2 linked regions of the Drosophila melanogaster genome follow. The protein of the gene in region 1 interacts with the protein of each later gene in a pairwise test. Each region holds a gene or a part of one and is shown on either strand. Other genes may lie near its edges. The genes, in order: CG15533 and CG12609.

Region 1 (5,294 bases):
AAGGAGAGCTACAAAGTAAACAGTTCACAGAGCATCCTATTATCTTTATATTTAAGTGTTGTTGCGTTTCGGACATTATAATGCAATTCTCATTATGAAGAAAATGAATTCTTTACATGACTTCCGATATTTACCTTGTTTGGTTTTGATAAAGACATGATAATTGATTCATAAAGATTATAAAGAATTATGAATAATAAAACCGTGCAAAACGATTGATTTCATGAATTGACATGGGTATGTATTCAGTTGTACTACTACTTAAACATAAAAAGCTAGGATTTTCTGATATTTACCATTAGCTCCCAGGTGATGGAGTCGAGGAACTCTTCAGGAATAGAGAGGGTCGACTGGTCCCTGAGCTCTGGAACATTCCGCGGTGGTGATCTCTGCCCGGTGGGCGTTTGGGCCGCGTCCCTCTGGCCGTAGGGATCGCTTATCTCGCTCCAGATGGTCTTGACCAGCTCGCGATCGGCTTTGTCCAGCGAACGAGCGGGCAGTCCCCACATCTGAACTTTCCTCAGCACTGGAGGACACCTTTCCGTGGCCCGGATCACCACCTTGACGCTGTTTGTGCTGGCAAGGATCTTGTGGGCGGACTTGAAGAAGAACACCTTCTCGCTCTGCTCCGAGTTGGAGCTGCTCCGTGAGTTGTAGTCGCTCTGGTAGCAGAAGGTCACCGAGTCCACGCCACGCCCCAGATCGCGTACGAAGGCAACCCTTTCCCAGATACCATCGTGTCGTCCATGCAGCTCGAAGGCAGTGGATCGTAGGGCTCCGCAGGAGGGCCACAGCTTGATGACCTTCATGTCCACCGCCTTGGGGAAGTCGAATACGATCTCTATGGGCGGCTTGCAGACGGCGAAGCACATGAATCCACGCTCCAGCTGCTCGACGTCGTCGGCCACCAGATTGGCCGCAGTGTAGCCATCCTCGCAGACGGCATCGGTCTCTACGGAGGGCTTAAGCTTTGGGTTGAGGAAGTTGATCAGACTGCTCATCCTGGCTGCCCACTGTGCTATACTCTCGGCTGCTGTTATGTGGCTCTTCACGGCGTATATCTACTCTGTGCCCCACCTGCTCTTTATTCGCAATGAAAATGGCGTCACTTCTCGGGAATCTTTTGTTGTTGCGTCTGCCTGCGGAGGCTGCTAATCCTGCCTGGTAATCCCCTGCTAATCCCGCACTGGGTGCGCTCCTGCTCTCAGCCGATCCTGAACACTCACAGCCTGGCCTGGACTTCGGCTGGCATCTCACAACGCTGCTTCAATTGCAATTATCGCCCTGCCTCTTCGAATATTTATAAATCACTCGCTTGTGCAGTGTGACCATGCCCGGGCGGTAGTGGTGGTGCGACCAGTCAGATGGACTTCGCTCAGTACTCGCGTACGGTAACACCTATTCGCTTGGGCGGCAAAAATTGAATGAGTTAAAATATTTGTTTCAACGTATAATGCAAGCCTTTTCGAAATCTGTTTCGTTTCGAATGAAACAATGAAAAACACGATTGCTATGGTTGAGTTATATTCATTTACATTTTGAAAAAGTGTATACTTAATTTGATTTCTTGTTCAATAAGCAAAAACGATCTCAAGAACTTTGTTTATCATTTATACTTAAATTAGCAAAGCAGATATGATAAGGTTCATCAGTTTACACTATAGGCTCTGGCTTCTTTGAATCATAAAGTATCTAGTTAAAAAGGGAAAGTTATATCGAAATATGTAATATGACTTATTAATTGCCTATTTGTGGTGAATGGTCAAAAATGGTAATTTTTGCGATATGATTATTTAGAAATCTGCCCCACCGGAGGCAGATTGTGGCCACTTCTCATGCCAAAAATATAATCATATAAAAGTTCTACTATTCGAGATTAGGCTAATCTCTGCCATGAATGCGTTTTCCGGCCTGGTTAATGGGGTGGCCATTGGCTGAGAGATAACCGAAAGCTATAAATGGCCCCACACGTGGAAACTATGCTCCAGTTGCTCTGCGAACCATGAAAGCAATCGGAATCCTGCTGGCGATCGCCTTGACCTCCGGGTTCCTGGTGGTCTCCGCCGTAAACTTGCCGGGAGTGCCCGTGGACTTCGACCTGGACGACCACATCCTGTCCGCCATTGCAGACGACATAGCCGAGCGTCTGGCCAGGGAGTACATCACCTTCCTGAAGACCGGAGTGGAGACGGCGGAGTTCTTGAAGCTCACCAATCAGCTGGCCAAGTCGCACAGTGAGAAGGATATATTCACCAGGAACATGCCCGATCTAGAGCCCAGGGATAGCTTCTTTGCGTGCGTGGCCTGTCGCTCGGTGACGCGGGTTTTGATTCGCACCATTCGCGAGGAGGACGGCGAGCTCCACGGGGAGAATAGCTCCGTTCTGATGAAGGAATTCGCTATGGACGTGTGCCGCCGCTTGAATCTGCAAACGGAGGAGGTCTGCGAGGGATTGATCGATTCCAACCTGCCCTCCGTGGAGTACATCATGAGGAACTCCGAGAGTGATTCCCAGAGCTTCTGCTCCTTGTTCATGGAGTTTAACTTCTGTAACACCGGTACAAATCAAGATTACAATTGGACCTTGACTATAGACAATACTGGAGAGGCTTCGGCTGGCCCCAAGTCGGACACTCCCACCTTTCAGGACTCGGACATCAGGATCTGCCAGTTCTCCGACATTCACCATGATCCCTACTACACCCCCGGCAGCCTGGCCACTTGTGCGGAACCCATGTGCTGTCAGAGGAACAAGGAGACCACCGAGGGTACGTCGGATGCAGCTGGATACTGGGGCGACTACCGGGACTGCGATCTGCCTTGGCACGCCTTCGAGTCAGCCTTGGACAACGCGGTGGCCAACTCCAAGTGCGACTTCATTTACCAGACTGGCGACATAGTGGACCACATGGTGTGGGCCACTTCCGTGGAGAAGAACACCATGGTGCTGACCAAGGTCAGTGAGCGGCTAAACGCGGCCTTCGGAGATGTACCCGTATATCCCTGCATCGGAAACCACGAGCCTCATCCACTCAACCTGTAAGTAGGGGATCCTTAAAATCTAAATTTTGATATTTATAAATTGCATGAATTGGGATTCCTAATCTCAGATTATCCCGGATGTATAAGTGGACTAATAATCCTTATCTTTATTTTCGCATTGCATAGCACCCGATAATTTATTATGTTTTCAACTATTTTCAATTCATTCGCTTATCTATTTCGACTATTGGACTATTGCAGCTTCAGTCCCGAGGGCGTTCCAGATGAGATCAGCACCAAGTGGCTCTATGAGCACCTGTACAACGATTGGTCCAAGTGGCTGCCGGCTGAAACCAAGGAAACCATCCTTAAAGGAGGTTACTACACGGTGGTGCCCAGGAAGGGCTTCCGTATCATCGCTCTAAACAGCAACGATTGCTATACGGACAACTTCTGGTTGTATCACAGTGGCACGGACAAGATTCCCCAACTCCAGTGGTTCCACGATACCCTGTTGGAGGCCGAGAAGAACGGGGAGTATGTCCACGTGCTGACCCACATTCCTTCGGGCGATGGAACCTGCTGGTCCGTTTGGGCTCGGGAATTCAACCGCTGCGTATCCCGCTTCAGGTCCACAATCAGTGGCATTTTCACAGGACACTCGCACAAGGACGAGCTATTCGTTTACTACTCGGAGGATGAAGGACACCCCACCGCAGTGGCGTGGAACGGAGGTGCTGTTACCACCTACTCCAACAAGAACCCCAACTACCGAGAGTACGCCGTCAATCCCGAAACTTACACTGTGACCAACCACTGGACGTGGATTTACAACCTGACTGCTGCCAATCTGAAGCCAGATGAACAGCCCGAGTGGTTCCTGGAGTACGAGTTCATCAAGGAGTTCACGGAAGATATGAGTCCGGCCGGAATCAGCAAGCTGCTCGATGAGTTCGCCGAGAATCCCGAATTGATGAGAAAGGTAAGTTAATATCATCTGAAGAATATCATCTTTACGGTCACCATATCATATCATTAATACCCGTTTCATCTGTAGTACTGGCGCTACCGAGTGACCTCAGCAGATCCCCAGGTGAATGGAGGTTGTGATCGCAGCTGCTTGGCAGGATCTCTTTGCCGAGCTGCTGTGACCATCAATTCCGAGCGAGAACGCTGCGAGGAGCTGCGTGAGAAGTTGTTTGCCTCGGTAAGTTACTTTCTGGATAAATCTCTCGATCCACAACTAAGTGATGATTCCCTTCCCTCAGCTGGACAATGAGGAGAGCACATCGTCGTCGGGAAGCACTGAAGCCACCACCCCAAGTCCCAGCACCCCAGGGGGCAACGATGACAACGACGGTGGAGGATCCTCCACTTTGGGACTGCTCAGCGTTAGCTCCCTGCTGGCTATAGTCCTCTCCATCCGCCTAGCCTTGTAGTAATCCTCATTTGTACCCCCTAAGTTATATAAACCGAATGGATTCCATTCTAAAAGTAACCGCTCTCAAGTGGCAAATAGAAGTATGCGCTTATCCCTATCGAAACTAATCTGGATGATTTTTGTGGAGGGACTTTGTTTTTCAGCCGGCTGCCTTATCGCCTAATGGCGATTAGCGAAAATTAGCTTATTAAACCGTGCTGGCCATAAAACAAGCAGCTGGCTACAGTTTTTTTTTTGCCGAATATTGAACTACGGATAAGTGTAAGCACGTGCACACGATTCTTTTAGGTAATAATTTACGACACACCGATTATGGTCAGAATCGTGATCAAATGTCGATTATCGCGCCATGATCTGACTCACTAATGGAAACACTTAAAAAAAAACTCTGTAAAATGTATGATCTTACAAGCCTAATAACAACTTGTATTGTTACAATGTTATGAATGATATATGTAAGAAAACTACTTAATGGAATCTTAGGCTAACTCGAGGTCAGCTGTGTAAATACTACCGATTGGATAGATGCTTTCGATCTTCTTCATTTCACTATGAGTTTATAATCGTTTCATACATCTACTTTACAGACCGTAAATGTAATTAGTAGTTTAGCTGTCAGATATCATCCCTTTTGTAAAGTGGTCAAGCCAAAAGCAGTTAAAGAACTTCAGTTAGTATAGGCAGTTGACTGTGGAAATTTCGTTGTGCGATATCATCGCATTTGATAAGTGGAGGAGCTGATTGCGGTGATATGAGGCTATAAGTAAGGGGCTCGACTTTAATCCCTTAAGCAGTCTCGCCATGAAGTTGATCCGGGGCACAACTCTTTTGGGCATCGGCATATTATTCGTCGGGTGCGGGGCGTTCAGCC
Region 2 (4,412 bases), on another chromosome or scaffold:
GATTCATAGATAGCATTTGCTGTAGTTCATTGTTGTAGATACTTATCCGTGACCTAGCATGCTCCTCGATTCCCTGGCCATTTGCCAAGAAGAGGCGGAAATAATAAAATGCAAAAATATTATTTTTTAATTAAGTCATAATAGCAATGTCGAGCGCTAATCGGGGGCCCAGCGGCTCCTCCTCCCTTTACCGAATGCCGTGTGAATGCTAATGACCCGGGCGAAAGCCAAGAGGAGTAGAGCTGCTTCCTGGACGGATGGATGGATGCGGGGATGTGGACGGACTGGCGGGACGTGCTCACAGTTTTCGACAACGCGCACGCAGTTTGCATATTTTCACATCATTTTGCATTTGCCCAAGGACGAACCGAAGGCGCTGGTGGGTGTAGCATTGGGACAAGGACATTCAACGAATTCAGCACGACCAACGGAGCCGAAACAAGTGGATTCTGCCATGGTAACTAACATACAAATTACCCCGAAGTGGGTCGTCATCTAAACAGTAATTACATGTATCGAAGATACCCATCCTGACCGCCACGAAGTATGTATCTCTGCGGTCTTTGCGGTTGTGGTACCATTTTGCGGATATTCGTCACTCATTTAATCAATCAATTAATCAAAAGTTAGCGAGCAAAAGCCGGGGGATTGAAACGATTGAAAAGATAAGGCGAGCACTTAAGGGGTTTATTGGAAGAAATTAAATTAAATTTTCACGCTAATGAGCAACGCATCGGGCATCGGGGGGAAGTCGGAATTTGCGCTTAGGGATGTCGGATGGGGATGAGTCCTTTTGCCAGGCGGTTGTGTCTGTGGGGTTAAACTGTGTGCGTTGTGTAATTTCTTGAAGTAATTTCGGAATTTACTTTGACAGCCAAAAACTAATTTCGTCGGTGGTTTTTGGATTTGCGGCAAGAGTTCGCAACTTCGCTTTAGCATACAGACTGTGTTCGTCATCATCGTTCTGAAGTATTCATAAATCATAGCCGGACTCGGTGAGTTTGGGCCGTATCTTTCCGCCTCATTTGCCCAGCCAGACTCAAGAATTAATCAAACTTGAAATGGAGCCCTCAACACGCATTGGGGCGAAGTGAATGTCCTTCGGATTGTCAAACAGGTGGCTGCGGTGTATTCAGACATGTTGTCAATGGCACAATAGGTCAAATGGATGGCAAGTGTATCTAAAGGAAAGGAATATTTGGTAGAGCTAGTCATTCATATTTTCTATGCTTACTTACTTTTGACTGTTTTGATGGGCAGGTTGAAAAGAAGGTCATTGATTTTTGCTCTCCTAACTGCTGTTCATTTCTTTTGCTCCAGATAATTTCATATTTTCTTCATATTTCATTTGGCATGATCGACTAAAATTTGTACTATATTTTAACTACTTAATGTTAGTCCCCACTCTGCTTATTTGCTGCGTATTCATTTATCTTGACTATTGTAATGCATGAAGATTCAGGAATGTCTTGGCTTTTTGGAATCGTAAATTACCCTAATGAAGTACTTTCCCAGCTTGCCCTTGTCTGTGGTCCATAATCCTGTTTTAAACTTAACACAAGAAAAGCAATTTAGAAACATTGGTTAGAAACGTTGGCTAAAATATATCTGGAGTGGGTTCGTCGGGCTTCGAAGGAAGCGATAGCGTTGGCAACTTCTGGCAGCGATCGTGTCCAGGACGTAATGACCTTTGACCCGTGCGAACCTTCCAATGCATTTTGTACAGCTCCTCATCCTCCGACTGGCCATCGTTGGCCAGAGCATATTTTGCCATCCTGGAGGTCGTCGGCTGCTCACTGTCCAGATCCTTCTGGTTCATCTTGGTCTTGGATACGGAATCACCAGGACGTGCCTGCAATGTGGACAAAGTCTCTGAAAGATCTCCCACGGAGGTGTCCGACGAGCGATTGCCCAAATTCCGCTTCCAGATGATGTTTTGCTTAAAATCTGGGATTTTCAGACGCGGCCTGTCGAACGCCAGTGGCCCAACCTGCGCATCCATGCGCATCTTGACCATATCGGCGATTCTCTGGCCGGAACGATGGCTCTCCTTGCTGCTGGCATCAGTGGATTCCCTTTTGGTCATGGATTTCAAATTAAAGTCCGACCAAAGCTTCGCAAACCTCTCGGATCTTGGAATATTTTGTTTCTTGGCGTTTGCGTTAGATTGTTGGTTATCCGACTCCTCAGCTCCATCTTCCTGCTCCAGGAAAGCAAATCGATCAACGTAGTAGGGCTTCTCTGGCGGTTTTCCCTTGCCGGAAGTCATCTGATACTCGATCATCTGGAGTTTGTACACATTAAGTTGATACCGCATGTTGCGCATCCGGCAGCGTATGAATTCGGCACTAAGATGACTGCCCAGTTGGCTGGCAATCTTCTCCCATGAACTGCGCTTCATGTCCGCATCCTTGTACGCCGGCAGCGTGATCTTCCACAGGCACGGCTGCTCCCTGTAGAGGTCCACCAGGCGCAAATTGAATTCCTTCTCCTGACTGGAAGGCAGTGATGATGCAGCATGGCGCATGGCCAATAAACGCTTCTGGCGCTCGAGACGCTGTATTTCCATCATTTTGGAGCTGTTGTGTGGATGTGTCTATTGCTTGTCTATCCGGATGAACGAAGTGTATCCAGGGGCCTGCTCAGGTTGCTTTCATGGGGGAATCGATTGAATCCACCTTGAAATATTAGCTCTTAAAGTCTGTCAGCTGTTATTACGGATGCTGACGTCTTGGATACCAGGTAAGCTAGCAGCAAAAGGTTTAGCCTGCGACTGAGCCTGGCCAGGAATGCGTAACCGCTCGATGTCAGCACTCACATGCTTCAGTGCATCCGCATAATTTGTGCTCCGGGCAGGATGGGCGGCTCAAAAGGCAACAGAATGTTGCAACCGCATAGTTGCCCCGCCAGTTGGCAGGTGGAAGGGGCCAACGGAACAGACGGAGGCAAATGCGTCTCATGAAAGTTGCAACAAAGGACACGGCTTGCACTCACAAGTAAGTGGGTGGTGGTGGGCTGGGGCATGGATATACGAAGGGACATGGCACTTCAACGACAACAAAGCTCAGAAGGAAGCTCGCAAGTGCTGCCGGTTTATCCTTTTTTTTTTTTTTTTTTTTTGTATAGCTTGCCCTGCATCTCGCCGATAAATTCCCAAAATTCCTTAGTGTTTTGCAAATTTTCGGCAGAAATTTATCATCCGATTTCTAGCAATCTTTGCGAGTGACAACATTTATCTTTTGATAAAACCGATAAAGGTCAGGCATTTTGTTATAGTTGTAATTCCTTAAAGTTTCGGCATACGCTCAAATTCTAAGAACATCATGTTTATGAAATGGAATAGTTAGTTGTAAAATATTTTATCCCGAATAGTTTTATTTTTACCCGTCGAATGAGTACATCTCTACGACTCACATGATGGGTGGGCCACTTTAGTGATATTAAATCGCAGCTCAGGCCAAATCCGTCAACGTAAAGCCGTCCTGCTCCTTCTTCTGGGCCACCTTCTGATCCTGCTCCTGCTTCCATTGACATCTGCAGGATGCGTGTCCAATGACTACTCCTCGAATGCGGCCGGATTCCCTATTGGGTGGAACGGGTATTTAATTAATTTCGCCACCCAGACGCGGCTGAATGGATGGATGGATGGATGGTTGGCTGTGCCTCTGGTATATCCACGGATTGGAATGCGAATGCCAGAGATTGCGACATGGCGCTACGCCTTGTTCGTCAAATGCAAATATTACGCACTTTACGCCGAATTTGAATAAACAAAATGCGTGCCAATTAAACACCGGAGGGAATTGAAGCTCCGCATTTTGCAATTGTGCCGCCTAACGAACGTGAGTAATTAGGGCTGATTGGCGTTGGGAATCGCACGTTTGCATAATTCAACAATGAATATTGGACAAACCAACACAGTTTCGGGCACGATAGGGAACGGGAATGGAAATTGGAGGAGGGGGTTGCCATCAGACGGGAAAAACACGCAGCATTTGATTTGATCGCTTTGAGAAGGACTCCACTAATTGCCCACAGCTGGAAGAAAGTTTGTCGCTCAATGCGGCGGAAAAATACACGTGCAAAAACCAGGAGCCGTAATTTAATTGAGTTGGAAATACTATATTATATAATGATTATGAAATCTCTAATATAATGACTACTAAGGAATTAAATTACAATAATCATGCAAAGAAAATCTTCTTTGTTTTTCAAACCATTTTCTTGGCTTGAGTATTTAATAGGCTCTCGTTCTCTATTTAAATCGAACTATTTTTGCTATTCAATCCAATTTTTTCCACAGTGTATGTATGGACTAGTATGTGCTTTAACATTTCATGACGGCATCTCTGATAAAATTAAAGCGTGTTAAAGCCTTGCATAATCCCAGGATAAGGGGAAGTCCCCAGCAA

What was found.
Region 2: the proteins of CG15533 (region 1) and CG12609 interact in a two-hybrid assay, tested with the Drosophila melanogaster proteins (one large-scale study listed by BioGRID).

What each region holds. Positions count from the first base shown.
Region 1 is NT_033777.3:30,426,840-30,432,133, forward strand, and holds CG15533 (uncharacterized protein), read left to right. Parts: upstream 1-1,980; 5' UTR 1,981-2,002; coding exon 2,003-3,039; intron 3,040-3,243; coding exon 3,244-3,964; intron 3,965-4,039; coding exon 4,040-4,189; intron 4,190-4,250; coding exon 4,251-4,421; 3' UTR 4,422-4,523; downstream 4,524-5,294. Other genes in the region: CG2218 (uncharacterized protein), read right to left, coding at 297-1,001; CG15534 (uncharacterized protein), read left to right, coding at 5,225-5,294.
Region 2 is NC_004354.4:18,745,694-18,750,105, forward strand, and holds CG12609 (uncharacterized protein), read right to left. Parts: upstream 2,614-4,412; 5' UTR 2,573-2,613; coding exon 1,598-2,572; 3' UTR 1,239-1,597; intron 1,182-1,238; 3' UTR 674-1,181; downstream 1-673.